4 linked regions of the Diceros bicornis minor genome follow. The protein of the gene in region 1 binds, or shares a complex with, the protein of each later gene. Links are inferred from orthologs where the notes say so. Each region holds a gene or a part of one and is shown on either strand. Other genes may lie near its edges.

Region 1 (8,010 bases):
AGGGAAGGAGGGGGGAAAACAAAAAGTTAGAAATGCAAACAAAAAAATGTAAAAATATGGTATATTAAACTTAAAGATGAAAAGGCTTGAAACTATGTAAAGCACTAGAGTGTTCTGCACATTACTTATACCCCCAAGTTAACACCAGGTGCAGAATTGGCATTTTTAGAATTCACCCATTAACTTTCTTTTCCAGACTCGATAGAAATATTTACTTCCAAATGAGATTACATTTTATGACCAAAAATACTTTGTACCTTCAAATTATAAATCCAGAGGTAGTATCTAAAGATTCACTAAACATTATTCCTTATACCTTAAGTAACATAAAGAAACAAAATATAAAACGTGATTTACAAGGTCACAAATAATCTACTGGGAAATTTAATACTTTGTCCCATGTTTTAGGTTGGATTTGTGGGGGGTAGGGTACTGGCAACAATCTCTCTCTTAACCTGGGACACCATGAGTTTTTAACTCTTAAAATTATATTGATGTTTTTGTATATTTCACAACTTCAGTTTTTAAAATTAAATTAAGGGCGACACTAGAAACAAGCAAAAAGGAAAAAAGAACTAAAAGTCAAGGTGCTATTTTTAAAACAGCTGACAAACAAGATGAATTCATCTGTCAAGAGCCAAAATATTTAAAGGGGTCATCAAACATTTTAAATAAAAACCCAAGATTATACAGCTCCTCTACCATCCCAAACTCATGAGACCAAATTAACTAAATCCCACCCACGACGGTTTGACACCAGCATTTTCCAGAGAGCACTGACATTGTCTAAAGGATTAAGACATTGCAAACAACCCTACATAAACCAAGCAGTTACCTACAACTGCAATGACTTAAAAAAAATAACGGGAAAATGCTAAAACATAAAACCATTTGATAATGTGCAACAGAATGAATAATAAATGAAAACACTTTGCTGTAAGTAACTTAATTCAGATACTTAAAGGATATGGGTAAAGCTCAGAGAGGGGAAAAAGAACAACAACAAACTAAGTCTCAATTGTAAATACTTAAACAATGATACATTACTGGGAATTTGGCCATAGCACTTTCACTAGACGGTTGGAATGGGAAACCATGTACAAATTACTTAAATCCTACCAAGGTCACAGTGACAAACTGAAATCCGAGCCTAGCTCCCCAATTATGAGAGCTGGCGAGTGATCTGTATGCTCAGGAAAGCAAAGTAAATTTCCTGACAGAATGCACAGCTGACTAACACAAGAGCCAGAGAGACTTGCATCCAAATCCGGGAGGGGTTCTATCTCTAATAGAAACTACAAAATTACATTTTAGACAAGTCTCTAGAACTTCCTAGCTCCTTATTTTAACACATTTTATCAACTTTTCAAAGCCGCTTATCCGCTATTTTTAACACTTTAAATGACAGCTTCCTCAAATAAAATAATACACCTAGAAAAGGGCAAGCTAGTACAGAATCTTAAATCTTTAAAAGTCCCTGGGCGGGAGGCGACCACTGACTAATTATTAATCCCACTGTCTACAATCATGGATAAGATACGATTGAAGATTCACCTATTACTGCACAATGTCCAAAAACAATAAATAAAACCCTTGACACATCTCAACTGAGAAACAACGACAACAAAAAAATAACCTCGTGGGAAACCTTAGAACCGCAGCCCAATCCCACCCCCACCCCTCCCGCCCCAAATAGCCTCAATATGGAAAGGCAGCTGAGGGACGCTCCTGTAATTTGGTTGTTTTCTTATTTTTAGTACCAAATGCTGTCGACTGAATTGTCTAAAAGGGCAACCGCCTTGCACTTGTGCAGCTACACTCCAGTTGCTTTACAAACTCTTCAAGCAAGGATGGAAACCAAAAAATACACACCCTATGAATAAAGAGCTACTGAGCTAAGGAATGGGGATGGAAGCCCCAGAAGCGGTGGCGGAAGAACACAGGGAGAAAGTAACACAAAGCGAGACTTCGGCGGGCAGGGTGGTCAACGCCAAAGCACCAAGCCCCCAGGGTGGCTTCTCCCCAAGGATAGGAAGTGGACTGCAGGGCTGGCAACCTCGCGAAGGAAAGGGTGTGGTTCCCCCGGGAAGGGAGGGAGCACAGGGTGGGAAATCCAGGCTGGGGGCAGCGGGTGGAATTGGGCGATGGCGAAAGGAACCCCTGGAAATTTCCAATCTAAACCGGGGCCGCTCAACCGAAGGAACACCCGAAAGGCGCTGCCCAGCGGGGTGCTCTCAATATCCCCTCTTCTCGAGGTTACGTAGAGCCCACCGAGGAGCTTTTGCTCGTCCTTGGGTGATGCACAGTGAGGATACGCTTCCATCGGAATGGCACCCCCGCCCCAGACTGACAGCGAAGGACCGGATCTAGCTACGGAGAAAGGCCTAAAGGGGGATGTGGCAGGGGAAGAGGAGGGGGCGATGAGCTGAATTAGGGGGAAAACAGCTGCGAAGGCGAGTCAAAGGACAGGAATTCCACTGCAGTCCATTCCGAGACATCCTAGGCGCGCACGTGGGGTAGAAACGTCCCGAGAGAGTAGAAAGCTGGAAAATTTATGGAATTCAAAAGCAAGCAAGCAAGCAAGAGGAAATGTCTGAGGAGCGGACGACAGCGGAAAACCCGACCAGACGCCGGTAGAGAACGAAAAGCTCCGCAATGCCACTGCTGTAATGGGGATGGCTAGGGTGAAGGAAGGGAATGAGGAGAGGTAGAGGACGGCGCGAGACCCCAACGCGGCGTCAGCTAAGGTAGAACGGACACCGGTACCTGTGCTGTCGGCCACGTTGCCCACGGAAGACGCCATCTGGAGCTTCTTGAGGAAAAACAAGAGGGGGGTAATTGAGTCCTGTTGCCGCCACTACTGGCAAGAATGTTTCTAGAGGTAGGAGGAGGAGGGCAGCAGCCGTACCAGTGTTTTGGCAGGCTTAAGCGGCGGCAGCAGTTACAGGCTTCGAACCTTAGAACTCTAGTTGCCCATCTACCTCTCACGGTCTTGAAATGGCGGCGACGGCTCCTCGGCCGAAACAACACGGACCGGAACTACTTTCTGTTACAATCTAGTACCGGCGCGGAAGTAGCGCGGTAACCAGCTCTACCCACAAAATGAGTGTACTCGAATCCCCTAGCTCTTTTGTAACCTTCCGCGCGGGGCCCATTGCGACAAACACGATTCTGTCGAAAGCGCATGCGAGCAACCCTGTCAACCGCACTCGCGGTTGGGGCACTGTCTGGGCGAGGAGCGTCCAAGTTTTTTACTAGTGAAGCGGAAGGGTAAAAAGAAACCCGTACACGTGACGGATGCATTTTTGCCAAAGTGGTCTAGTCTATTAGCTAGCCAATGGTGAAGATTTTGATATAAATGCCAAAGACATCTGAAAAAGTTTAATCAACTTTATTCGTACCAAAATGGATAGTTACAAGTTTAATGGATCAATTCTGAGCAAGTAAATTTAAATGGTTATATTTCAAAGACTGAACTGTTGTTCAAAACGATAGGGGAGGGTCCCAATTTGAACACGTCTTAATTCTGACTCCAGCCATTGGTTTAAGCACTTTAACAAAGAAGATTGATGCTTTCACAGGGCCAAATGAACCCAAACATCTCACATCGTGGCCATATAGCCCGAAATTTCAAAATCATTTTGGTATTCAGGATAGGTCTGCTCACAGTATGAGGGCAAATGCTTCATAACTCAGAAACATGCTGAGAGTTTGCACTCCAAAGGCAGCCATAAAGATGTTAAAGATGATTCATATTCGTCAAGATCCATGACTCTTCTGAGTTGTGACTCCATTTCCACCACATAGCTTTGCAAATCATCACAATCAGTGATTTCGTTTAGCTCAAAGCAGTTCAACAATAATAAATGAATTCACTTAAACCTCATATCTAGATGGAGGCTGAATTGCCTCCACTTCCTTGAAGAAATGAGCTCTTATGATCTTCCTGCAGTTTCAAATCCACTATTCAGACATTTTGTCACATTGGTATTAATTTACATCTCATCTCTTATTCCAGAAAAGATTTAGGGTAGCTTGCCACATCAGCAAGAAATTATTATAAACCAATGGAGGCAACAAGTTGGATCTCTCAGAGCCTTTTTATTTCAAAAAGTCCTTGATCTAAGAAAACAGGTCAGTGAATTTCTTCAAAACATTTCCACTACCTAGTCATTTGACTACATTAAAAAAAAAAAAAAACCTAAGTCCTCAAGTTCTGCTTCAATTTCTTTGAGACAGTTCACAAACTTTCATTATGGATATGAGCACAGAGAAAATTCATACTATTGATAATTTCCTCCATCACATTCATAATGAAGAGTCACATGCAGTGAAAAAGACCAAGTTCACTCTACAAACTCTCCTGGAAATTGGGCACCAATCTATTCTCTTAATTTGATTTAACTGGTAAAAGTCCTCCCCCCCCCCCACAAATGCCCCCATCTGTGGTGAGTAAACTCAGCTTTTCAACTTTTAGAACAGACTTCTCAGATTCCACTGGCAGATGTTTAGGCCTTACTGATTAGTGGGTGCTAGCTAATTAAGTAAAACTCTTTTTGTTGTTAGATGCCAGGTCGTTTTCCCAGTCAGGCAGGCTATTTGGCCCATTGATACTTGTGGTCTAAGGTTCCTTATCCTGACAGAAGAGTCAGAGGATGTTACGATACATTTTGCTGGGTGGAAAGCTGGATAGTGGGGCTCACAGTGGTTCAATAAAGAAAAACCCCTGTTGGAGTCTCAAGAACCCCCTCCAGGTACCTTCCAGAAATAGCACCTGGAGGGTTTAGTTTGAGGGACTTACTCATCTGACAAACACATCTTCTTTGGCCAGTCAGGTAACATTTACTAGAGTGCAAAGCACTGTGGCGGACACAAAAGTCACCAAGACAAGATCTTTGCCCTTAAGGAACTTGAAGCCCAGTTAGGTAGACACAAAAAGCTACCAGAGCATAAAACAGAAGAGTAGTATTTAGGTGATGAAATATATTACTGTCTATAAATATCTGGGGAGGGAACAGTCACTTCAGGCTGGAGGAGGGTGACGAAGAAGGCCTGACTTGGACATCGAAGGAGGTGCTTTTGTGTGTTCTCTTGAACGCTGATTTCTGGTTATTTTTTTTCTCCCTTTTATGTGCAGCAATTCTAAATTCAGAATCATCTGAAATAAATCAGCCACACTTCAATCCCAATTCCAAACTTTGCCATCCTAATAACACCACTAACGGTGTCTTCGTTTTCTGTTACTTTGTAACAAGTTACCACAAATTGAGCGGCTGAAAACAACACACATTTCGCACCAGCGGCGCTAGCGCTGGGCGAGGGAGCGGGAGACACGCTCTGGCCGCCACCGCCACTCTGCGGCTGGAAAATGGCTCCAAAGGCTCAAGGAAGCTGGAAAAATACAGAGATGTAGCCCCACAGGCTCTCCAGATGTTTGGGGATAATATTCCAGAGAGAAATTGAGCCCCCTGGGTTAGGTAACCAGTCATAATGAAGAAAATTAGTCTTAAAACCTTCCAGAAATCTTTGAACCTGAATAAAAGTAAAGGAGAAACTGATTTCAGGGTAGTATGACAACCATCACTAGCCAGTGAGTTTGGAAAACGTGATTCCTTATTTGGTAGCTGCTATGGTAAAGATATGGCCAGCTGTGATATCAACAGTGAAGATGAAAAAGGTGGAAAACATAGATTAAGAGGGAAGCCTAATGGGTACACTAAAAAGGCGGCTTTCTGCAGAACAAAAGCTGAAAGGCAAGGGGAGCCCACCCTCCAGGAGCTCTGCCAGAGGATACGTTTTCCTCTCCTCAGCACCAATAATAGTCTTTAAAGATGTGAGAGCTCAAAGACCAATAAGATCCACTTCCCTTGGCAATCATCCCTATAGTCCTACCCCTTGACCTCTTGACTTACAAACGCTGAGGATACGTGTATCAAGATGGAGGAGGTGAGAGTCAAAGCCTAGGTTTATTCTTCCAATCCAAGTCCAGCACGGAATAATGTTCAAAAAGATTTTCAGTCTTCAGCCTGAAACTGCGTGCTAAGAACAAAATAACTCATTGAAGAGTTCAGAATCTCAAAATGGAGACTTGCATCTTCACCTCAATGAACACATGCCTGTAGTTATTGGACTTATGCCTCAAGACTGCGTTTGGTATTCTGTGCCTGTAGATGAGGGGATGCATCCTTTAGAAGGATCGCCTAGCTATTGTCTGGACAGTTCTTCTCCCATGGAAGTTTCTGCAGTACTTTCTCAAGTGGGAGGGAACTCTTTCTCCAAAAATGAAAATCAAGTAGGCCAGGACATAGTCGTTGCCCCAGAGATCTTTGTGGATCAGTCTGTGAATGGCTTGTTCATTGGCACCACAGGCGTCGCATTGCAAAGCCCAAGAGCGAGTCGTGATGATGTCCCTCCACGTTCACCATTGCTACCTCTAATGCAGAATTATCAAATGCAAACGAACTGCAGTGGACTCACCGGCACAGATGTCCATGTGTCTGAAAGTATGCGCTATTATTTGAATTTCGATCCTGACTCTGCTCCTGAGGTTGCAAGAGTTTATGATTCAATGGAAAGTAGTGGTCTTATGGTTGTAACAAGCCTTACAGAGGAGCTGAAAAAACTTGCGGAATAAGGATGGTACTGGGGACCAATTACATGCTCAGAGGGTGAAGGGAATCTAGTAAATGTTCCAGATGGTTCTTTTCTTGTTCAGGATAGTTCTAATGACAGTTATAGTTTAAGCTTGAGCTTTCCTTCCCATGGTAACACACTTCACACTAGAATTGAGCACTCAAATGGTAGGTTTTGCTTTTATGAACAGCCAGATGTGGGGGGACAATTTGGTGATCTAATTAAACATTCAACCAAAGACTCTGAAAATGGAGCTTTTTGTTATTCAAAGTTGGATCTGCAATTTACCCTGTCAAATTGCCTGGATCTGCAATTTACCCTATCAGACTGTCCAATCAAGTATCACAATTTGTGTAGGTGGCGTTCTTTTGCAAGACCTGTGTCGTTTTGTTTTATGTCAGTATTCCAATAGACTTATTTCAAAAACTGCCTTTGCCAAACAAAATAGATTATTGACAGGAGAAGCATTACTGAAAGACTAGGAGAACCCTGTATCTTGCACTTTCAGTTCAAGAAAAAGAGATTGAAATATAGTTTACAAACTTTCATTGCTATCAAAATCTTTTGCTGCCATAGCTGGTTCAGTTTTAGGTGAAAAAAGTAATCAATTTGTTTAGGGGTAGGGAAGTGTCAGCAAGGTGTCTTGAGTTTATTTTTGGTTCTTTAAAAAAGAAAGTCTTGAGGTTTTAGAAGTGTGAATATCTTGTATCATGTGCAAAATAATCACAATGTGAATTATCAGATTCTCCTTCATCCATACCTCCCCAAGTCCTTTGCTGCTATCCACTGTGATTTTTATGCATTGAGGGCACACTTCATGTGTATCCAATCCAAAGTAAAGTTGAATGAAACTTTTAGAATAAAAATCGTTCTCTTTAAATGACCTATTTTCAGAAGATAGTGTTGAAGAAACATACCCATGTGATAAAATGCAGAATTTACATATACACTGAAAATTAGTTTTAATCTCATACTTTAGAAAGAATTATGAATTGACATACTCTTGGGTAATAGAATGCAGGTCTGCAACATGTCTTTTACAACACCATTTTCTAAATTATTTTTAAGATTGTGCTAATTTTTTCGTTGTGAAAAGTTGAATTTTTCTGTTGCCTTCACTTTCATTTAGTGGTTTGTATACTTTTTTAATGGCCTTACATCAAAAAATCTTAAAGAAGTATATGCCACCAATTTAGAAATTGTTGCCTTTTCTGTCATTAGACTCTGATACAAATTGGCATAACATATAAAGACCTATGGAACTAGAACTATTATTAAAGAAATATTACATGATCTTAGATTCCTATGATAATTTTTTGTGTCATCTGTAGTACTTTCCTTTGGCAAACATTGTATCTCAGTTTCTTCAGCTTAGTC
Region 2 (7,248 bases), on another chromosome or scaffold:
CTGGGCCCCTCTTGGGTTCTCTGGAATTTATTCTGGGGCTGCCCGGCTTCGGGTGCAGGAATCCTGAGGGCTTCCTCTGTCCCTCCCCTGGACCTGGACATGTGCCGTGGGCTGTGGCTGCTCTGTGTCCTGGGGCCTCTCCCTGTGGCTCTAGGGAATGGAGTCCAGGCTACCCCTCCACCCAACTGCCCACTGAAGCCAAAGCTGGAGGCTCTCCTCCCCTCCGTCCTGACTCTCCTGCCTCTCACATCCTCCCAACCGGGGACTATCCCCCGAGGATTGGGAAAACTGGCTCATCCTCCTGAGATTTCCCCTTAGGGCTTAGGCTTTGGAATTCAGGAGTCTGTACCCTGTTTCTGCCACAGCAGCTCCAACAGAAGCCCTGCCCGGCTATGTCCCTCCGCATTTACCATTTTGGAGCCAGCTGCGGGCAGCACTGCTGTGCCTGACGGCTTTCTGGGGCCACCAGAGCTGGCTCGGTGCATCCACTTGGCCAGCTGGACACGCCAGCATATCATTGCTCCCAAGAGCGACCCTCGATCAGGACAGCTGCCTCACCCCCGGGTCGGGTAACTGAGGCATGTCTTCTATATGATCCCTTCGCCTTCCTCAGCCCAGCTGAGCTCCTGCTGCCCACAGCGGGGACTTGCTCAATGACACACTTGACAGCTTCCATCACCTCGCCTTTCCCACTCCTCTACGAGTGTTTCCTGGGGTCACCTCCCAAATAAAATCCCTGTTATGACATCCTTATTTTGTGAACCCAATCTGAGACAGCATCACTTCCCAGAGGCGGTGAAGGGAGCCTGCTGCGCTGACTGATGCGGAAGAGAAGAGGGGTAGGAAGAAAGATAGGACGAGGAGGAATCGCTAGTTAACAGCTCAAAATATGATGGCGCATCATTGAAAACTCAAATGAGTGCAGCACTTACTCCGTGCCTGACACTACACTCAGTTACTGTTTCATCTGATTCTCCCAGTAGCTCCACTGGAGTGACATGTTCTCAGAGCTGAGGGAACAGAGTCTCAGGGATATTCACCAGCAAGCTGGGTAAGCAGGGACAGGAACTCAGGTCTGACGATTCCCCTGGGAAGCATCTTGAAATCCCTCAGCTAGCAGAGAGGATGCAGCGCCTTGAGGTCAGCCATCGTCTTCCCCTTACATCAGCGCTGAGGAATTCTAGTAGCCACCTACTAATTTCCAAAAATTTCTGTCTTTAAATCTTTCTTTAAAAAATTATAAGGTCTCAAATTTTTTGAGGCAGGAGGCATGATGCTGTGAGCTCCATAATGTTAGACGGGTTTATGAGGAACAGAGAGTGAGAGAGATGTTTCAGGATTGAAAAACAGGACTGACCAAGTCCTGTGGTGTAATATTCTCACCATGGCCAGTTCCAAACTATGAACTTGACCTTACTGACCCCGAAGTTGGAAAGAGATGGAGCTGTGGAGTGCCACACCATTACATAGTATTTCCACTGTACCAACGCAATCAGCATAAATAACCTCAAGAGCGCTGATCATGGTAGGATGTAATAAAACAATTAGTAAGTGATGAGCTTTGAGTATTTAGAACCTTTTTTATTGAGGTAAAATTCATTAAATATCATTAAATTCACCATTTTAACTACCTTAACTTTTAAAGTGAACGATTCAGTGGCATTTAGTATACCCATAATGTTGTGCCACCACCACCTCTATCTAGTTCCAGAACATTTTCATCACTCCAAAAGGAAGCCCTGTACCCAATTAAGCAGTCACTCCTCATTCTCCTTCTCCTCCCATGGCAACCAGTATAATCTGTTTTCTGTGTCTATAAATTTGCCTATTCTGGATTTTTCATAAAAATGGAATTATTGAATATGTAACCTTTTGAGTAGGGCTTCTTTCATTTAGTGTAATGTTTTCAAGGTTCATCCATGTTGTATCATGTGTCAGTGCTTCATTGCTTGTCATGGCTGAATCATATCCCATTGTACGGATACACTACATTTTGTTTATCCATTCATCAGTTGATGAACTTATGGGTTGTTTCCACCTTTTGACTATTTTGAATTGTGCAGCTATTAATAATAATAAACTATGTACAAGTTTTTATTTGAACGCCTATTTTCAATTCTTTTGAAAGGTGTATACTTAGGAGTGGAATTGCTGGGTCACATGGTGGTTCTATGTTTAACTTTTTGAGAAGCTGCCAAACTGTTTTCCACAGTGGCTGCACCATTTTATATTCCCACTAGCAGTGTTTAAAGGTTCCAATTTCTCCATGTACTCAAAAACACTGGTTATTTTCAGTTCAGTCTTATTATTACTCTAGCCATGCTAGTTGATGTGAAGTCGTATCTCATTGTGGCTTTGGTTTACATTTTGTAATGACTAATGATATTGAGTATCTTTACATGTACTTTTGGCCATTTGTATATCTTCCTTGGAGAAATGTCTATTCAAGTCCTTTGCTCATTTTTTAATTGAATTGTTTGTTTTTTTGTTATTGAGTTATAAGTGTTCTTTATATATTCCGGATATATCAGGTACATGATTTGAAAATATTTCCTCCCAGTCTGTGAGTTTTTTCACTTTTCTGATAATGTCTTTTGATACACAAAAGTTTTTAATTTTGAAGCAGTCCAATTTATCTTTTTTTTTAAATTGCTTGTGCTTTTGGTGTCATATCTAAGAATCCATTGCTAAATCCAAGGTCATGATGATTTATTCCTATGTTTTCTTCTAAGAGTTTTGTAGTTTTAGCTCTTACATTTAGCTCTTGCTCAACAATTTTGAGTTAATTTTTGTGTATGGTGTGAGGTAGGGGTTCAACTTCATTCTTTTACATATGAGTATACAGTTGTAATACTTTGGTTTTTAATATAAGTTATTTAACTGTAAGTTTATATAATTTAACTTTTAATTATGGTCATGTTTAACAACTGGCTTGCAAAATTCCTGAAAATTTGACAATCAGCTCTCATTAAGCCAGCGTGAGCTGGTACGAGCCAGTATGAGCTGGTCTGAGCTGGCGCCAGCATGCCACTACTTCCACTGCACCCTGCTTAAACAGTCTTGCTGCTGAAGGCTGGAACTTGGATTTGTTTTTCTTGAGGAGCTGAGTTGGGGGATGGTGGAAGTGTGCTCATGGAGCTCCTGGGGGATGGGTGTCTGAGGAAGAAGGATCTGGAGACCCCCAATCCTCTAGCCATGGGCCTATCTCTCATTTTCCCATTGCATCTGGCTTTCTGTCCCATGGTTCAGAGAGCATGGTTGAGTCTCTTGCTCCCTTGCCAAAAATTTGCCCTGCTGTTCCCCTGGCTGAGAGGGAGCCAACTGTGTTCCAGCTGGATCTGGGGGTGTTTTGGAAGCCCCACCTTGGAGCAGAGAGCAAGCCTGACCCTGAGACTGGGGAAGTGCTCTTTTTCCTGGTAGGGTGGCCAGATAAAATACAGGGTGCCCAGTTACATGTGGATATCAGGTAAGTAATGCACAATTTTTTAGTATAAGCATGACCCATGCAAGATTTGGGACATACTTATACTAAAGAATTAAGTATTATTTATCTGAAGTTCAAGTTTAGCTGGGACTCCTGTATTTTCATTTGCTAAATCTGGTAAGCTTCCCCTCAGGTCAGTTTTCTTCTTTATTGCCCTCATCCAACAGCAGAGACTCAGAACTCCTGAGTGGGAAGGGACCTGGGGAGGTGCTGATTCTCTGCCCATTTTACAGATCTGGAAACCCAGCCCCTGATAACGAAAGGGACTGGTCCTAGTGCCTGGAATCATGGTGAACTTTGGGGACTTCACTGAGCTGAGCTACACGACTTTTCTTTTTCATGAAGTCAGCACATTTTCTGGGTGTCTCCTCCGCATGGGAACTGTTCTGGGTGTCAGGGGATGACCGTGACAAGGCTTCCATGCACCTGTGTAGAAGGCCAGACTCAAGAGTTCCCTTTGGACGTGTTAAATAAGAGGCAGGATTCAGACAGACCTGGGTCCAAATCCTGCTCTGCCGTGTATTGGCTGCATGACAAGTCACTTCCACTCTCTGAGCCTCAGTTTCTCCTTTCCTCACATGGAGACAAGGGCACTTTTCTTGGGGGATTGTTGTCAGGCTTCAGTGGAGTGATGAAATGCCTGGTGGGGGCAGGGAAGAGTTTAGGGTATGATGAGAGACAAGAAATATGCATGGTAAAGTCTGGTTGTTGCCCACAGGTTGCCTGGCATCCTGGGCTGCCCAGATGATGTGGGATGGAGGTGCCAGAACTCACCCGCGCTGCCTCACCTGCCAGGGACCAGCCAGCTCCTGCTCCTGGCCCCCCAGGGGCCCCAGCTGGGCAGGCCTCACCTCACCTGACCTTGGGCCCTGTCATCCTGCCGCCAGAGCAGGGCCTGGCCCCCGCCGTGTTCCTGAAGGCCCTGCCCATCCCACTGTACCACACAGTGCCTCCCGGGGGCCTCCAGCCGCGGGCCCCCCTCGTGACAGGCAGCCTGGACGGGGGCAGCGTGCCCTTCATTCTCAGCCCCCTGCTGCAGCCTGAAGGACCTGGCCCCACCCAGATGGGGAAGCCAGCGGCCCCAGCGCTCACCGTGAACATCGTGGGCACTCTGCCTGTCCTGTCGCCGGGCCTGGGGCCCACGCTGGGCAGCCCAGGCAAGGTGCGGAACGCCGGCAAGCACCTGTGCCCGCACTGCGGCCGGGACTGCCTGAAGCCCAGCGTTCTGGAGAAGCACATCCGGTCCCACACCGGTGAGAGGCCCTTCCCGTGTGCCACCTGCGGCATCGCCTTCAAGACCCAGAGCAACCTGTATAAGCACAGGCGCACCCAGACGCACCTCAGCAACTCTCGGCTGTCCTCGGAGTCCGATGGCGGTGGAGGCAGCCTCCTGGAGGAGGGGGACAAGGCTGGAGGGACCTCCAGAGCAGATGGCAGGGGGGACAGCTGGAGCCAGAGAGGGGGCGACGGGGCCCAATCAGAAAGACCCCTTTCTCCAGCCGCCCAGGGCACTGGACTCTGCCCAGTGCCCACCACACATCTTCCTGTGGCAGAGAACCTGGATCTGAGGTTGGAAGCGGTTGCCTGTCCAGGGTCCACATTTGCTGACAGCGAGGCCCCTTTGGCCCGCACCCACACAGCGCCCCCCGGGCTCCCGCTGGCCGGCGCACAGCCGCGGCGTAAGCTCCTGGAACAGAAGCCGCCGACTGCCAGCGGGTGCTCCCTGCAGCAGGCCACGTCCTCAGAGAAGCCCGGGGACCCCAAGGCCTCGGAGGGCCGGCTGAGGAAGTGTGAGAGCACCGACTCGGGCTACCTGTCCCGTTCGGACAGTGCGGAGCAGCCGCTGGCCCCCGCCAGCCCCCTGCACAGTCTGTCCGAGCACAGCGCTGAGTCCGAGGGGGAGGGCGCCCCGGGGCCGGGGGAAGCCAGGGCCCAGCCGGCGGGGCGGAGGCCCAGCTTGGAGCTGGAGAAGAAGCAGCTGGAGGAGCGCATCGCCAGGCTCATCTCGCACAACCAGGCCGTGGTGGACGACCCCCAGCTGGACCACGTGCGGCCCCGTAAGACGGTCCTGTCCAAGCAGGGCAGCATCGACCTGCCCATGCCTTACACCTACAAGGACTCCTTCCACTTCGACCTCCGGGCCCTGGAGCCCGGCCGGAGGAGGCAGGCCACCCTCTGCTCCGCCCGCTCCAGCTTCAGCCCCCTGGACAAGACACGGCCCCTCTTCTTTCACTCGGTCCCCACTCAGCTCTCCACCACCGTGGAGTGTGTGCCCGTCACCAGAAGCAACTCGCTGCCCTTCGTCGAGGGCACCAGGATGTGGCAGGAGCCGCCGGACCCCCAGGACGCCTTCCCCAGGAGGCAGAAGCCTATGAGTCCCAGGCCTGCCCCTGCCCGACTGGTGGGCGTCCCCAGCGGTCACCCCCGGGCCCTGGTCAGACAGGCCGCAGTGGAGGACCTGCCGTGTCCCCCCGCTGGAGACACCCCTGCTCCTGTAGATGACCCGGGTGGAAAGAGAACTGCTGTAGGGGAGGGGGTGGCCGGTCAGGGCAGAGCAGCCAGTAAGAAATGCAGCCAGAGGAAGCTGAAGATGTTCTCCCAGGAGAAGTGGCAGGTGTACGGGAGCGAGACGTTCAAGAGAATCTACCAGAAAATGAGACCCAGCCACTCCGGAGGCAAGAAGGCGAGGGAGGTGACAGCAGGCAGTGGGACAGGATTGGACCTTCCTTTGCAGGAAGAGGCAGGGGGCAAGGGCACAGCGCTGGCCCAGGATGGGAGGACCCCTGTCCATGGGGACATTTCTGTGGGGGCCAAGCCAGGGCCTCGGGGAAGTCTGCCAGCTCCAGAGGGCTTCTTGGTGACTGAGCCCCCCAGGCAGAGGGAGACGGTGGCCAAAGCAGGAGGCAGTGACCAGCCTGGGGTGAACAGGGCCATCTCGCACCCTACTCTCAGCTGCAGAGATCCCCCCTGTTTGGGCAGCAAGAGCCCTCTGATTCCTACAAATGGGAGGCTGGAGCTAGGGTGTCAGCTGCCCCCACCACCTGGTCTCCTCAAAGGAAGTGACCTAGAGGCTCCCAGGCTGGTTTCACCAGATCCCAAACTGGAAGGAGGCACCCGCAGTGGTGGGGACGCAAGGACCTGTCAGCGGGCCCCAGCCATCCCGAGGCAGCCCAGTGGTAGCTCTGGGGAGCCGCAGCTTGCGGAGGACCAGCTCCCCTCGGAGAGCAAGAAGCTGAAGGTGGAGGAGCTGAGCGGCCAGGAGCAATCGGAGTCTCTGGGAGCAGGAGGAGAGGCTCCTGGTGGCCACGTGCAGGCTACCTCCCTACCATCTCAGAACCAGGACAGTGGGCCCGGGGACAAGCCAGGAGGGCTGCAAGGGAGCGGCGACTGCACGGCAAGGGGCAGGGCTGGACAGCTGGGTGAGCCCCTGGGGACCTCCGGCACCTCCTCTGCTGGGTCTTCAGTGGCCCTGTGGCAGGCAGCGCCGAGGGACAAGGAGCCCTCGCTGCGTCCTGCAGCTGCAGTAGCCAGGAGCCACTCCCCGCTGGCTGCCCAGCCTCCGGCTCCCGGCGTCCTTGCTGCCCTGGCGGACACTGCCTTTCCTCCTCAGTACCTCCTCAGGTTACCTCAGGGAGAGGCCCACCCCCCACCGCTCGTCCCCCCAGGGGCGGGGCGAGGCCAGGACCCTCTCTGTGGGAGAAGGTGTCCGGAGGAGCGGGAATCCTTTGTTGAGTCGGGACTGCGGGCCATCCTGCCTCCCAGCC
Region 3 (7,799 bases), on another chromosome or scaffold:
TGCACATATATGCAAGCCAAGTGCACAGAACAACAGGGGCTCGCTGGTGGCGCCAGGCCTTCCCTGCCCTGCACCTGTCTGCCTCCACCTGCTCGGATTGATCCTGTTGACTGTCGCCCTAGGGAACTAGGGGGTAGGCACGCTCCACAGACGCCTTTGTTCTACCTCCAGTCAGAGCCAGTGTCCCTGAGCTCGGGCTTAGTCATGCACCCTCAGGCGGAGCACAGAACTCACTCACTAGCTCCGTGTGTCCACGGGCAGGGACACCAGGGTGCGGCCAGCCCAAGCCTCAGGCTTTGGTTTCCATTCAATGAGAAAAGAGCTCAGCGGGCACCTCAAAGGCCTGTCCTCAAAACCCCAGCCCTCCCGGCTGGCACCCCCGCCCCTCCTCACAGCCTCCTTTCCAGGTCCTGCCCTGACCAGACCCGCCCCTCAGCCTCCCCAGCCCCTCCCAGGGCTCACAGTGACCCTTCTCTCTCCTTGCTTCTCCGGTCCCAAGTCAGCTCCCCGACTCCTCCTGGGAGTCAAGGGCCCCAAATTCAAGTCCCAGCTCTCCTAGTGGTCTGCTGTGTGATCTCCATCAGGTCCCTGAACCTCTCTGGTCTCTAATTCCTCCTCTGAACAAAATGGAGTTGTCCTAGCATAATCTGTGAGGGTCATTCAAGTTCTGGAGCACATGTGTGGTAGGACACCTTCTGCCCCACCCTCTCCTGGGACCTTGGTCAGGCACCCAAAGGGAACAGTGCAGGTCAGGGCTGGGCGGAGATAGTCCACGGGCAGGAAGTCCAGAGAAAAGACCAGAATGACTTAAAAACAGCCCCCAGAACAAAGTAGGGGGGAGGGAGAGACAGGGAATGTGTTAGGACCTTCCCTTCAGGGAGTTATTGTACGGAGCAGCCGCACCCTCTGACCCCTAAGAGGGGACTTGCAGAGGGCTGGCTGAGGAGAGGCATGTGGGCCCAGGACACGGATCCCCACGGGGGGCACTGGGGGACAGTACTTATTCTTGAAGTCTTCCACCAGGTCCTGCACGCCCCGCAGCTCCACCTCCAGGCGGCCCCCGTCCATCTGCAGCCCCTCGAGCTGCCTCCGCAGGCCAGCAATCTGGGCCTCAAAGATGCCCGGGAGGCAGCTGCCCTTGGCCGACTTCTGCTCCTGCAGCAGTGCCCACTTGGTCTCCAGCAGCTTGTTCTGCTGCTCCAGGAACCACACCTAGAAGGGAAATGGAAGAGGAGACGGTGTCATCCACAGCGGGGTTGGGAGGGTCTCTAGCCACCCAGCAGAGCCCACGCTCCCACTGGCTGTTCTCCCCCAGCCCGTGGCCCTCTCCTCCAGGAAGCCCACCCTGGACAAGCCTCTCCTCCAGGACTCTGTCTCAAGTGTCTTAGAGTGTGACCCAGGGGTCAGGTCGGCCTGCTCCACCGACGTGTGCGGTGCTCGTGCCGGGGCCTCCTCCCTCCTGTGCTCCCCATCCATCACAGGTGACCACCCCACTCCCTCTCTGAAGGGCTGCCCCCACCTGTCAGTGTCCTAGGCCTCACTCGGCCCCTCCCTTCAGGCTGGGACCTCATCTCGTCCTCCCTCAGTATCCTCTCTCCCCTTTCCTCCAATGGGCCTCTGGACAGGGCACTAGAACCAAGGCCATGCAAAATGAGCACCTAGTCTGTGCTCAGCCCTGGGCCCCAAAGCCCCCATGGAGCACCCAGTATGACTGGGGTGGGAAGCCAGCCTTCTCAGAACCAGCAACTCAGGGCAGCGGGACTTGGGGGCCGCAGATGGTGAGAGAGAGGAGCTCCACAGCAGGGGGGAGCCTGGGCAGGAAGGGCTTCAGAAGAGCCTGGAGTATATTCAGGGCCTACACGGTGAAGGAGAGGGGGATGTGGGGCCAGGAAGCAGAGAGAGACTGGAAGGCAGGGGAGGGGAAGCCTGGTCTACACTCCAGGGAGGAGGCACTGGCCAGAGAGGCCCCACTGGGCTAGCCCTTAGTTCCAGGCATAACCTCACCCCTACCACCAAAGAGAGGCTGGAGAACCACGTAGGTGTGGTGGTGTGGGCGTGGGGGGAGCCCCCTTCCACCTCCCTCCAGCCCTTTACTTCCATCATCTGCAGAATCTGAGGGGGAGGGGCGTCTCCTCAGCTGGGAAGCGCATGTCACCCCTACCGCATCTCTGACTCCAGCAGCCCCCTCTCACAGAAAGGTGCCCAGAGAGAGAACTCCTGGCCCGGCCTCTGGAGTGCCAACTCGATACCGGCAACAAAACCGGCCCAAGAACCGCAGCCGCCTCGCAGACACAGCCGGGGCAGCCAGCCGGACAGCCCCAGGCACACATTCTGGGAGGCAAAATCCCGGGATTGGGCAGCTTGCTGGAAGAGAGGGCTTGGAGACTGCGGGGGACAAAAGAGCCACAGGGTTCAGGGAGAGGGGGAAGGTCCCCGATATTGGCGGAAAGAGAGCCCGCACCAGTCCTCCCAGCGCCCGACCCGCGTGCAGCCAGGGCTGGGGTGGCTGCTGTGGCCTGGGGCGTGGCTCGGCAGGGCGCTGGCCGGCTCACCTTGTCGATGAAGGAGGCGAACTTGTTGTTGAGGGTCTTGATCTGCTCGTGCTCCTCTTGGCGCACCTGCTGGATGGAGGGGTCGATGTCCACCCGCAGCGGGGCCAGCAGGCTCTGATTGATGGTGACCTCGCGGATGCCGGCGCCCCCCGGGCCCGGGTAGGCGGAGCGCACGGCCACGCGCGGCCGCGAGGCGCCCAGGCCGTAGAGGCTGCTGCTGCCGAAGCCGCCGGGGCGCACGGAGCTCAGGCGCACCTGTGCGCCGCGCCCCGGGAAGGCGGCGGAGCGCGAGCTGAAGGCCTGGGAGCTGAAGTGGAGGGACATGCTGGCTGGACAGGGCTGGACGTGGCGGCGGGCGACAGGGGGCCGAACTCGCTGACCTCCGGGAGACTCGGCCGCTTTTATCCGCTAGGCGCTGGCGGATCGGCTGACACAGGTTGGGGCGGGGCTGGCCGCCGGCCACCGTTCTCTGCCCGCCGGCCCCTCCCGGGGCCCCGCTTCCGCCCCCGCGCCGCCCTCCTCGCGAGGCCCAGGCTTTCGGTCCAAGCCGGAACCGTCCAGAATGGGGAGGAAGGCGAAGCCCTCCAGACCCCCTAATGCAGGCTGACGCAGAGAGCGGTGGGAGACAGCGGTCCGGGCCGATCTGAAACGGTATCAGTCAGGGAAGGCTTCCTGGAGGAGGCTTGGGGAAGGGGTGAAGAATATCCAGATTTCTGAGGCCAGAGCAGAGAGATCAAGCGGTAAACGATTGGGGGAAGGAGTGGACAAAAAGTTCTAGTCCAGGAGTCAGTCCAGCCCCGCTCCCCAGGCTATTGAAAGCCAGAAAGGCATTCCCCGATGCTCTCCCTCCCCTCAAGTGCAGCTCCTCCTTGAGAGTTCAGCTCAGTTCTTGAGTAACCTGACCCCAGGGTGGGCCTGTCCTGGCTGATTTCCCTGACCGCTTGTCCCTACACCTCATTTCCATATAGAAACTAGGCCGAGTGGGGCATGACCCCATTTCTTGGCCCTCTCCTCCTGTTCCAATAGGCATCTGAAGCCCAGAGGCAGGTGGGAATGGTTACCCCGGGTGTATGCTTCCCCCATCCCCAATCACGTTCCTGTCCACTTATTCTGTTTTGTCCCTGTAGAGGAAGAGGACACCTGTGTGTATTCGGGACACTTTGTGGATGTCTGTACACTTCTGTGTGTACACACCTGCAGGCCACTGGGCTTCCCTATGTGCACACCTGTGTGCATGTCTGTGAACGTTCTTATACAAGTGGGCGTCTGTCTTCAGGGGAGGGGGGTCTGTGGATGCACACTTTCACACTTCGTGTGCATGTCTGTGCATGTGCTTGCATTTACACTCAAATACTGCCCCCTCCCCCCATTTTCCTGTTGTAAGGTCCTCAGCTCTCACCGCCTCCCCCACCTGAAGCCACCACCAAACAATCCCCAGTGGATTCAAACCCAGCCCAAGAGGGAGATCAACATTGTGCTGGGACAGGGAACACCAGACAGAGACAGCTGCGCTGCCCTCACTTCCTAGGAGCTTCCAGTCTCACATGCCACACCCTCTGCAGGTCCCTGCCCCGTTTCCCCAGACCCAGCTCACTAGAGGGGCCACCTAAGAGCCTTTGTAAAAGAGAGCTGCCAGGCCTGTTGTCACCCTTAGCCCAGCTCCAGCCCCGCCCAATGAGCTGGCCAGGTTGTCACCACAGAACAAGCCTTTGGGGGCGTCCGGGTGGAGGAGGGTGGGAATGGAATGCCCTTCCTGGTTTCCATCTGTTAGACCGGAAGGCCTTCCGGAGGAGGCTACATGCAGCAGCCCCTTCTCGGGCATCTCAGCAGACACCCACACCCCTCCCTGCCCTCTCCTCCATGGGGGTGTCAGGACAGCTTAGGGCAGGGGTGGAGGGATACCCAGGGAAACCTTCAGTCATGTCTGCTGCAGGGTGTGTGTGTGTGTGTGTGTGTGTGTGTGTGTGTGTGTGAGAGAGAGAGAGAGAGAGAGAGAGAGAGAGAGAGAGAGAGAGAGAAAGAGAGAGAAAGAGAGCGTGAGAGAAGGGGGTGGGGAGAGTTAACCTGGAATTCTCAGCTGTAGCTTGAAGAGCGTCAAGATTGCCTGGCCCTGAGATATTTGCAGTCATGGGGGTCCCACTCCTCCCCCACCCCCAACCCCCAAGCAAGCAAAAGAGACCCAATGTTTAATTTCCACAGACATATACACGTATACACACACTCACACATACACTCACACACACACATGCACACCACATCACTCTCGCACACATACATGCTCACATACACACATATACACACATACACACAACACTATATCACACATACACAGACACACACACCACATCACTCACATGCACGCACATACATACCACATCTCACACACACACACACACACACACACACACTCTCTCTCTCTACAACTTCCTTACCCCTCAGGGGTCCTCCTCAACTCTTTTTCCCACTACAGTACCTCCCACCCCAGCCCCCTACCCCTCCACCCCCCAACCCCACCTACATTTTGCTGCTGGCCCCTCCCACCCCCTCCCACCTGCAGCCCCCCACAGGATTTGCTATACCCCACCCACACCAGGCATTCCTCCTACCCCTCCCCTTCTCCTCTAGAGCCTGGCCTGAGAAATCTTTGGCAGGGCGCTGGTGACCTGCCTTGTGATGCTGGACAGGTCACTGTCCCTCTCTGGGCCGTAGTTTCTTGACAAGAGATGAAACCTCCGGGTTCCTCAGGTAGAGGGAGCTGGGAGGACATTGCAAAGGAGAAAAGGTCTATGGCTTTTCAGACCCAGGCTTCAGCCTCTCCGTGAGCAACACTTCCCCGTTCCAGGGCCTCTCCAGTATCCACCCCTCGGTCCTTCATCCCCTCCCTGAAGCATTCCTGGGACTCCGGCCCTTGCCAGCCTCCTCCTGTCTCTCCATTCACAGGCCAGCACCCTGAGCCCACTTGGTGCCAGGCCGCGTGCACAGACACCCTCTGGAAACCTTCACGAGAAGCTGTCAACACCCAGAGGCCGAGGGTCAAGTTCCTGCCCCGCGAGAGTGCACAGTCCAGTGGTTCATTAAACTCAGTCTCCCCCCGCCACAGCCTGGCCTCACAGAGACCCCTTAGGAGATTCTGGGCAGAATCTTGAGATGAGTTAATCTCATAAAGCTTCGCCTACCCCAAAGGCTCACTCCCATCTCCATAGTGTTCTGTGACACACACACACATACACACACACACCAAGCACATACTCGCTTGTGCTCCCACTCCCTGCCTGGTTTTCCCCTGCTCCCTCTGGACCCAGCTCCGTACAAACAAGCAGACATGTCCTCAGCCCGGCTCGGCTTCACTAAACCTACCCAGACACCACCATCCTGTGGCCCTTGCAGGTGGAATTGGCTGTTGCTCTCCCGTGAGGGGGGAGACATTCTTTCTGGCTCCCTGCTGCACTTTCAGAACCATTACTCTGACCAGTGTCCTCCCCCAAAAACACATCCTCTGATTCCTAGAGAAAAAACAAAAGGCATGATTTGTTTTCTTGATCTTGGAATTCGAACGCTTGTAATCGTAACAAAAGCCATTTCACACCTCTGCGGGGAATGTAATACTTTAAAAGAAAGTCAAATGATAAAAGACAAGGAAGCAACATATATGACAACCAACAGGCTACTTTCCTGAATAGAAGAATGCATAAGAAAGACAAGCAATACAACAGAAACGTGGGCAACAGACATGGATAGTATGAGCTACAGCTACGTAGTGCCTACTTTCCGTGGGCCTGGCTAGGTTCCAAGCTCTTTGCAGCCAACAACCCATTTAGTTCTCACGATACCCCTGCAGCATAGTGTGGGTTATTACCTCCATTTTAAGAGAGGAAACTGAGGCATAACGAATTTAAGTAAATGGCCCAAAGTCGCATAGCTAGTCTGTAGAAAAGCCAGGATTTGAACCTTGACAGTTTGAACCACTAGATTCCTTACAAAAAGAAGAAAAGAAATTAAGAAAATCAAATAGCAAATATGAAAAAAAAATGCTCAACCTCACTCAAAGAAATATGACCAGAATAGCAAGGAAAAGCCATTTTCACCTGTCAGATGGTCAAAGACTAACAGTGTTTGTGGGTGTGTGGGTAACAGAAAGTTCTGTCCTTTTTTCGTGGGGTCATCGATTGGCATGTCCTCTTCCCTTCTTGTGTTCCTATGGCTGGACTAATCATAAAATTTGGAAAATACCAGATTAACAGGAGAAAAACCCAGTTTAATCTGTACGTACTGGAGATCATAAAGAAACGATGCTCGGAGAGTGAACAAAGCAGGCAGTATATATATCTTTTACATAAAGAAATGGTAAATTTGTGAAGAATTGACAGGACAAAGAAACTTAGATTTGAGGTATGTAGTTAGTGAGGAATTTAAGCCGAGTTTAGGCTTGAGGTGGTAAATTAGCAAGGCTTGTTTAGGCAGGATTCTCGGCCCTGAATTCCCTAGCTCTGGTGATAAGGATGCAGGGAGAACACCTTTCACATTGGAGATTCATTTTCTGCTTTCAGGGGATCAGAGACAGGAGGGTCAGAATGCCCTTTTTGCTCCTCAAGTAACTTTAATTCAAAATAATCAAAATGCCATTGTGGGGTATTTTGGGGTGGCCTTCCCTGGGCCCCAAGAATAGCTATCAAAATTAAAGACATGTGTCCTTACCTCAATAAACAAAACAAATTAAATGAATCCACTTGTCCTTGACCAAGTACCTCCACTGCCAGGAACTCATTCTACAGATGCTCTCACCAAAAGTGCACACGGACGTGTGGTCCCTGCTGCCATAATTTTATGTTAGTGAAAAACAGGAAACAACATATATGCCCATCAATGGGAAGTAATTAGATGAATTAAGCTACATACGTTCGGAGGAATGCTACTTACTGAAAAGAATAAAATCCTTTATATACTGATTGAGTTTTTACCTTTATGTGTTGATTGCAGAAATCACTGCAGTTTTTGAAAAGCCTGTGAGGCTCATGCCGTCCAGCGATACTGCCATCCAGCCATCTACCCCCTCCCCTGTGGCCGGTCCCTGCTGGCCCACAGTCAGCTCCCGACCTCCTGACCACCCCCTCACGCTCCCCAGGGACTCTGGCCCTGGTTCCTGGTGCCCCTCTCCACCCTGGCACCCTCATGCTCCTGCAGATGACCTGCCCAGCATCTGCGCCTGATCCTCCCTTAGCTCCTCAAGTCCAGTGACTTTCACTTCCA
Region 4 (8,012 bases), on another chromosome or scaffold:
CTGAATGCAAGAAAGAAGAAAAAAATAGACAAAGTGTTTAAAAACTCAACAGTACAGAGCAGTTGATGGTATGTAGCCCAATATCCCCTCCAACACACCTTGTAGGCATCATAAGGCAATAATTGTTTATAATGACAGAAAGAGCTAAAAGGGCAGGCTGTGTTTATTCCAGATTGCCAAGGCTTCCCTGGGCACTAAATTTAGCTAATTGTAGTTTATACGGTGGATTGAATTTTTGGCAGGCAGATCCTCATTCGCAATAAGCAAATCTGGTTTGCGGGGTAGACCTGCTGGGCTCGTGGTATCAGTCTATATGGGACACAAACACCTGACTGGAATTAATCACAAATAAAATGCCAGTTAACTGAGGTCTCAACAAGAGACTCTTCACATACCAGGTGAAATATAAATTGGCCTGAGCCCGCCTGAGTAGATAGCAGCCTCAAGTGGAAATTCAAAACAAATGAACAGTTTTTGCTGGCAGCAGCACTTTTTTTTTTCTTTTTTTTGAATGTTTATGGGAGACACATAAACAAACTGCAAACACAGTTCAAGCCATAGTCTCAATAAAAGCCATCTGATCACTCAATCTGAAAGGAATTTAACACTTATAGCTTCATGATCACAGAAAATAAATTTAAATTTCAAAGTAGGTGGGAATGCAAAATGATAGAGCCACTTTAGCAAAAAAATTGGCAGTTTCTTATAAAGTTTAACATTTACTATGCAGTGCAGTAATACCACTCTGTCTTAGTCTGCCTGGGCACCTTCTTATAAGGCCACCAATCCTATGGACTAGGGCCCTGCACTTACGACCTCATTTAACCTTAATTACCTACTAAAAGCCCTATCTCAGAATACAATCACATTGGGGGTTAGAGCTTTAACATATGAATTTTGGGGGGACACATGCAGTCCATAACATACTCCTAGGTATTTACCCAAGAGTAATGAAAACTCGTGTCACACGAAAACATATACATAAATGTTACAGTAGATTTTCTCATAATCACCAAAAACTGGAAACAACCAAGATGTCTTCAACTGGTGAATGGATAAAGAAACGTTGGTACATTCATACAACAGAAGACTACTTATCAATAAAAAAGAATGAACTACTGACACATGCAACAACTTGGATGAATCTGAAAGGCAATTTGCTACATTCAAAGAAGCCGGACTCAAAGGCTACATATTTTATGATTATGTTTCTATGACATTTGGGAAAACAGGCAAAACTATGGGGACGGAAAACTGATTAGTGGTTACCAGGGGCTATGTGAGGTTGGTTTTTCTACAAAGGGGCACAAGGAAACTTTCAGGATGACGGAAGTGTTCTTGTTTGTGGTGGACGTGACTGTATGTATTTGTCAAAATTCATAGAACTGTACATATAAAAGAGTGAATTTTACTGCATGCAAATTAGACCTCAATGAATCTGACATAAAAGAATGAACAGAAGGATACTAAAACAAATTAATTTGTCTGTACATTTTTGCTGAAAGGAGATCTGAAAGAGATCAATAAAGGACTTTCAAGCACAAAACATATTAGGATAACATTTTGTTGGGATAGTAGGAACGGGAATATGAGGGGAAAGAGAAAATGGAATGATAGAAAATTTCCAATTGTTAAAGAGAAGTTTTGTTCATGTATTTTTAAAATTGGATGACAGTGAGTATCAAATCATGATATTTAGAGTCCATTGGATATATTTAAAGTTTATTTTAAAAGGTTTTATTTTAAAAGGTTTATAGTTACATGCTGGATATTACATCCTTTGCACCTGATCAAACTTTTAATGAAACATTTTAGATCTCGGGGCTGGCCCGATGGCCTAGTAGTTAAGTTTGACATGCTCTGCTTTGGCAGCCCGGGTGTGGTTCCAGGTGTGGACCTACACCACTTTTCAGCGGCCACGCTGTGGCAGCGACCCACATACAAAATAGAGGAAGACTGGCACAGATGTTAGCTCAGGGTGAATCTTCCTCAGCAAAAAAAAAAAAAAAAAAAAAATTAGATGTCAACACTAAGATATTCTAGAAGGTTATATCTTTTAGGGAGACATGATCAAAAAGTTTGAAGACCTGTGTGTTTTGTTATATAAAAAATTTTGGCAAAGTTTCACAGTTCTCATGTATTTTAAGTGATAAATATAATGTAAACAAAGTTTATTTTTAGGCGACTGTCATTTACGGTCAGACATTCTATTGGGCTATCAGATCACAACATGAGTAAGGATTTTACATGCACAAAATCTAAGGCTCTAATAAGAAGAAGATATATCTTACTTATCATAAGCAGTCATTCATTCAATAAATATAATGGTGAGTCAATAACATGCCGGGCACCATAAGTAGGCTCTAAGGTCACAGAATGGAACTAAAGAGAGACAGTCGCTCCTCTCATAGATCTTAAAGCATAGTGAGGATGATAGACATGAAACATAAACACGTAAATAATTCATTATGATTATAATAAGTGCCATGAGAATATTTAATAGGGCTGTCTGAGAAACTGACATCTCAGGTGGTACTTCACTGATGGAAGGAGTGATTGAAGATGCGGGGGAAGTGTGGGAGAGAGCACGGAGACAGGCAACCTGTAGGCTGTCAGGGTGTTGACTTCCTGAGAAGAGCAGCAGGAAACCATTTTAGCGGAGGCAAGAGGTGATCAGATTTGTGTTTTAAGATGGCCACTCGAACTTCTGGGAGAAGGAGATAAGATAAGAGAAATAAGTGTTTGTTAAGCATAGTCTAAGAATCTAATTTCAACTCTTTTCTTAAGAACTTGTTCAAAAATTATGTCCAAGTCAGTTAATCTCCATCATCAAAAGTGGCTCTGGGCCGGCCCTGTGGCTTAGCGGTTAAGTGCGTGCACTCTGCTACTGGCGGCCCAGGTTCGGATCCCGGGCGCGCACCCACGCACCGCTTCTCCGGCCATGCTGAGGCTGCGTCCCACATACAGCAACTAGAAGGATGTGCAACTATGACGTACAACTATCTACTGGGGCTTTGGGGAAGAAAAAAAAGGAGGAGGACTGGCAATAGATGTTAGCTCAGAGCCGGTCTTCCTCAGCAAAAAGAGGAGGATTAGCATGGATGTTAGCTCAGGGTTGATCTTCCTCACACACACACACACAAAAAGTGGCTCTGACTTAAAACCTATCTCTTTTTTTGAAGGAATGTTGTCAATTCTTAAGTAATTTTAGCTTTTTAATTTTTTTTATTGTGGTAACATTGGTTTGTAACATTGGTTTATAACATTGTATAAATTTCAGGTGTACATCATTATACTTCTATTTCTGCATAGATTACATCATGTTCACCACCCAAAAACTAATTACAACCCATCTCCACACACATGTGCCTAGTCATCCCTTTCGCTCTCCTCCCTCCTCCCTTCCCCTCTGGTAACCACCAATCCAATCTTTGTCTCTTTGTGATTGTTTGTTGCTTTTATCTTCTACTTATGAGTGAGATCATTCTCCCTCTGACTTAGTTCACTTAGCATAAAACCCTCGATGTCCATCCATGTTGTCACAAATGGCTGGATTTCATCGTTTCTTATGGCTGAGTGGTATTCCACGTGTATACATAAGTAATTTTAGCTTTTTAAGGTTAAACAAATTTAATCTATTGGAGAGACTGGTGGAGGCATAAAAAATTACCAAGAAAAACACCCAATTATTAAGTGATTTTTTTTCTTTCATGATAATTGATAAATACATGTCTTACACTTAACAGGTGTTTGATTATTTACTGCTGCATAACAAGCCATCCTAAAACTTCATGACTTGAAACAATAATAATAATTTCCTTTGCCCACAAATTGGACGGGGATCAGTGGGAAGGTTCATCTCTGCTCCATACAGCATTAGCTGGGACAGCTTGATGGAAGGCTGGAAGATCTGCTTCCAATCTGGCTCATCCAACATGGCTGGGCTGAGGACCAGGGGCCCCCGGTCCTGTGCACTTGGTGAGAACTAACTTCAACAAATTGCCAGCTAGCAGACACAGCTGGCCTAGTCACATTTACACTCACCAACTCTTTGTAGTTTTTTGCTTGAGCTCTGCACTCTCCCCACCCCTACTCCTTCATTCTCTCTTTAAATCACCCAGTTGCCTCTGCCAAATCAGAATGGATCTGAGTTCTTTCCCTCACTGTTAGTAGTGGCTGAATAAAATCTGTTTTCACCCCTTTTACTAATGTCTGGCTTTATTTATCTTTGACAATAGGCTTCTCCAAGTGACCTGGGCTTCCTCACAGCACGGTGGCTGGTTCAAAGGGTCAGTGAAGAGAGAGAGAAGCGACACCACAGCAAAACAGCAGTGCCTACACCTCCTCAAGCATGAAAATGTTTTATAATCTACCCATTTATAAATCAAAGAAGATTTGAAATAGTGATTCAAGTTCACTATAGATACAAAAGGAGAAAGAAAAATAAAAAGAAAGGAACAAAATTAAGCCAATTGGGTGACTGAGGGTAGTATGAATATGTCACTTATAGTGAACGTAAATTTGCCCCATGGGGAAAAAAAGAATTACCACTTTAAAAAAAATCCAATAATTATTTGAAAGGCTCAGATAAAATTAAAACATAGCAAAGAACTATAAATTAGGAGTGAAGCCTAAATTTGAACTTAGGCATATAGGTCCTTTCTATTATCCTTATTTTTTACATAAGGACACTCAGGCGATGAATGTTATTTCTGGTGACACCGTGGACACTAAACCTTCACATGTCAATGTTCCTTGGATGTTTTGTCTTCAGCATAGCCCTGATGGATGCTCTCACGATGAAGAGGCAGCACTTAACATGTACAGAAGCTGCTTTCACTTCAGCGAAAAAAAGAGTACGCGAGCTGATTTTTTAAAGATGATTTTTGACCCCTGCGAGCCTCCGGCCTGGACTACATTTCCCAGCAGGCCGTGCTCAGAACTACGGGTGCCTAAGTGAGGTCCAGCGCCGTTGGGGGCGGCGCAGTGGCTGTGCGGGCGGCCGACAGGCGGGTGCTTCGCGGTTTGAATGGCTGCGGGCCCGGGCCCTCAGCTCACCTGAGGACCGGCCGTCCCGGGGTGCGCTATGCCATCGGGAGGCGACCAGTCGCCGCCACCCCCGCCTCCTCCTCCGGCGGCGGCAGCCTCGGATGAGGAGGAGGACGACGACGGCGAGGCGGAGGACGCCGCGCAGCCGGCCCGGTCGCCAGCCCCTCAGACCCAGCAGCGGTTCGACGAGCTGTGCAGCCGCCTCAACATGGACGAGGCGGCGCGGGCCGAGGCCTGGGACAGCTACCGGAGCATGAGCGAGAGCTACACGCTGGAGGTGCGCCCGGGGGCAGACGGGCGCCTCTCCGGGCCTAGTGGGCGCGCCCCGCGGCGGGGAGGGGCCTCGCCTCTGGCCGCTCGGCGCCCGCGGGGTCCTCCGGCGGGCGCGGCTCCCCGGGTCCCCTGGAGAGGGGTGGGAGCCCCCTGCGCCTGGGAACCCGGCTCTGGCAGAGCTCTGAGCGGCCCCGACGGTGAACCCGCCTCGCGGCTCTGCCCTGCCGGGTTCCGAGCGGGGTCACCTCTTGCCCTAAAGTAGCAGCGCGGGGCTGAGGTCGTGCCGGGGTCACAATGACAAAAATACAGCCACCGTTTTGGCAGGACAGACAGGTGCGGGTGTCAGGACCGCCCGGGGAAGGGCGGGGGACCTGCCCGTGTTCGCGCCGGGTTTGTGGGCTTCTCCTTCACTTCTTTCCGACGGCGCCAAATGGCCTTTGTCCGGGCTTGGCATCGGTTTGCGTAAACGCGTTAAGATGCGGGCTGTGTTTACGGAGGTGTAAACAAAGACGAATCTTCCCCAGGGCGAAGGAAATGGACTTTCTGCCCAGCTGGATATAGACACACGCCCCGCTTTGTCACGAGGCCGCGACGACTTTGGGGGGCTTTTGGTGGCCCCAGGCCTTGCACAGGACTCGCAGAGTCGCTGTGATTTAGGCGTGTTGTGCCCCTTTCTTCGGGCGGGCCTGCAGATGAGAAAAATAGCCATTCTAGCCAGTGAGGCTCCACTCCGTAGGCACCTCCCCGTCATGGGCCAATGGGAAGGGACGCGGAAGTCTGTCTTGTTTATTAGCTGTTTGACTGCCCGTGTGGGTGGCATTTAAACAGGAGGCCGCGTGATTTTCTTAGGTTGTTTTACAGTTTGGGGAAAGAGTAGGGCAAATAGGCTCAGAATGAGAAGGCCTAACCCAAGGTATTATTTGACTGTAACAGGGTGTTTTTGCCAACGTGTCACTCACTCGGCTTATTTTTTTTATTTATTCTTGCATCAATAGAATTTTAATTCGATTTCTTCTCCCCATTGTTATATCTACAAAAAAAGAGAAAGAAAGAAAAGCTAGTAATACAGTGGCTTTAGAACCTGACAGACCTAGGTGACTCTGGACAATTTACTTAACCACTCCAAAACTCACTTTTGTGCTGTGTAAATTTGAGATATTTGTACCTACCTCACAGAACCATTCCGAAGGTTAAATCAGGTAGTGTGTAGTTTCTGGCACATAAAGCGCTCATATAGACAGTGCTTTAGAATTTACAAAGCTCTATCATATACTTAGGTGATCAGGCTGAAAAGGCCATGTTCCTATTTATTTCTCAGTGGTTCCTGTGGTCAGGCAGAGAGAAAGACTTTTTTTTTGGTGATGGGTGTAATTGCCTCAAAATAAGCTCTTATTTTACCCTCAGGATAATCCTGAGGTTCTATCTAGATTAGATAGAACAAGCGTTATCACCATATAGTTGACGTATTTCAATTCACAGAGGTTAAGTCCTGTGAAGTCCCGTGTTATATAAGCAAGTGACAAATAATAGATGGTTAGTAAATTATTTCTGAAAACACATGTTTGATTACTCAACTTTTTTAAGACTTTGATCTCAGATTCTTAGCTCAGTTTACTCAATAAATGAATGAATATTTATTCATTTAGTGAATATTTCACAATCACCTATTCTTTGCCACTTTTGTAGGTGCTGGGAATAGAGCAGTGAACAAAATGTAAAAATTCCTGCCCTTGTGGAGCTTGTAGTCAGGTATTCTGTAAGATATTGTGGGATGTCAGGCTCATGGAAGTGTACAATGGAAAATAAAGCTCATGGATATTTAACACAGAATACTGGTTATCGAATTGTATCTTTTGATTTCTTGTATTTTCTATGCTTTATACTTGTCACTCATTTAATTCTCACAGTCCTCAGATAAGAAAATTGAGCCTCTGTGACTGTTAAGTAGTTTGCCCAGGGTGTTCTGCTCCCATGTTGGCACTGCCAAGGCACATGTCCTGAGAGACAGAGCCAGGTGGAATCTGTATTGCCTTTTATGATCTTGCAAGTTACGTGGTATCACTTCCACCTGTGCTATTGGCTGAGACAGTTCAAAGTAAGGAAACACAGACTCCTCCCTCTCAGTGGAACAACATCAATGTTACCTTATGAGAAGAAACATGGGATCAGCCATCACTGAAAATACAGTTTCCCACAAACATATAAATAACACTTTCAATTTAAACGTAAGAATTTTTTTATATTGAAATATCTATAGCTCATTAGGTAAAAATCAATTTTCTTTTATTTTACAGGGAAATGATCTTCATTGGTTAGCATGTGCCTTATACGTGGCTTGCAGAAAATCTGTGCCAACTGTCAGCAAAGGGACAGTTGAAGGGAACTATGTATCTTTAACTAGAATCCTGCGATGTTCAGAGCAGAGGTAATTATGTTAGAATTTGAAAAGTAGAGTGTGACTCATTAAAAGCTCATAAATTACAGTGATAGTAAGAATTCTCTTTGTTCATCGTTTTCTGAGCGTTTGTACCTATGGAGTGCTGAATTTAGAAGCTAGGTCATGGTTTCCCTTTACCACATCTAAGTTAGTATCCATTCTATTTTGCTTCTTTGGTGAAAAATATTTGAATTTTAAGGTATTAGGCACTTGTATGAAGAGTTTACTATTAAAGGTTTTGACTCATCATTGT

Evidence for each region.
Region 2: the proteins of OGT (region 1) and ZNF831 are in contact, whole or in part, in a crystal structure (PDB 8FUF), measured with the Homo sapiens proteins. The link is inferred for Diceros bicornis minor from reciprocal best matches to the Homo sapiens genes OGT and ZNF831. Residues at the interface, in NP_858058.1 of Homo sapiens: Phe723, Ile734, Met779, Ile787, Ile790, Asn791, Arg792, Gly793, Leu808, Ala809, Thr831, Arg832, Ser833, Gln834, Tyr835, Gly836, Leu837, Pro838, Glu839, Arg877; in NP_001371283.1 of Homo sapiens: Phe937, Ser938, Pro939, Lys940, Tyr941, Leu942, Leu943, Arg944, Leu945, Pro946.
Region 3: the proteins of OGT (region 1) and KRT7 are in contact, whole or in part, in a crystal structure (PDB 4XIF), measured with the Homo sapiens proteins. The link is inferred for Diceros bicornis minor from reciprocal best matches to the Homo sapiens genes OGT and KRT7. Residues at the interface, in NP_858058.1 of Homo sapiens: His506, His508, His509, Asn567, His568, Pro569, Tyr642, Thr643, Lys644, Gln849, Phe878, Val905, Ala906, Pro907; in NP_005547.3 of Homo sapiens: Val9, Phe10, Thr11, Ser12, Arg13, Ser14, Ala15.
Region 4: the proteins of OGT (region 1) and RBL2 are in contact, whole or in part, in a crystal structure (PDB 4XI9), measured with the Homo sapiens proteins. The link is inferred for Diceros bicornis minor from reciprocal best matches to the Homo sapiens genes OGT and RBL2. Residues at the interface, in NP_858058.1 of Homo sapiens: His506, His508, His509, Asn567, His568, Pro569, Tyr642, Thr643, Lys644, Gln849, Phe878, Val905, Ala906; in NP_001310537.1 of Homo sapiens: Thr417, Pro418, Val419, Ser420, Thr421, Ala422.

What each region holds. Positions count from the first base shown.
Region 1 is NC_080781.1:64,766,691-64,774,700, reverse strand, and holds the start of OGT (UDP-N-acetylglucosamine--peptide N-acetylglucosaminyltransferase 110 kDa subunit), read right to left. Parts: upstream 3,009-8,010; 5' UTR 2,909-3,008; exon of another isoform or gene 2,813-2,908; 5' UTR 2,804-2,812; coding exon 2,767-2,803; intron 1-2,766. UniProt on the Homo sapiens protein: Catalyzes the transfer of a single N-acetylglucosamine from UDP-GlcNAc to a serine or threonine residue in cytoplasmic and nuclear proteins resulting in their modification with a beta-linked N-acetylglucosamine (O-GlcNAc).
Region 2 is NC_080758.1:4,509,530-4,516,777, reverse strand, and holds the start of ZNF831 (zinc finger protein 831), read left to right. Parts: upstream 1-4,238; coding exon 4,239-7,248.
Region 3 is NC_080756.1:17,875,834-17,883,632, forward strand, and holds the start of KRT7 (keratin, type II cytoskeletal 7), read right to left. Parts: upstream 3,014-7,799; 5' UTR 2,877-3,013; coding exon 2,553-2,876; intron 1,213-2,552; coding exon 1,001-1,212; intron 1-1,000.
Region 4 is NC_080771.1:6,627,193-6,635,204, forward strand, and holds the start of RBL2 (retinoblastoma-like protein 2), read left to right. Parts: upstream 1-4,998; 5' UTR 4,999-5,086; coding exon 5,087-5,326; intron 5,327-7,616; coding exon 7,617-7,747; intron 7,748-8,012. UniProt on the Homo sapiens protein: Key regulator of entry into cell division. Directly involved in heterochromatin formation by maintaining overall chromatin structure and, in particular, that of constitutive heterochromatin by stabilizing histone methylation.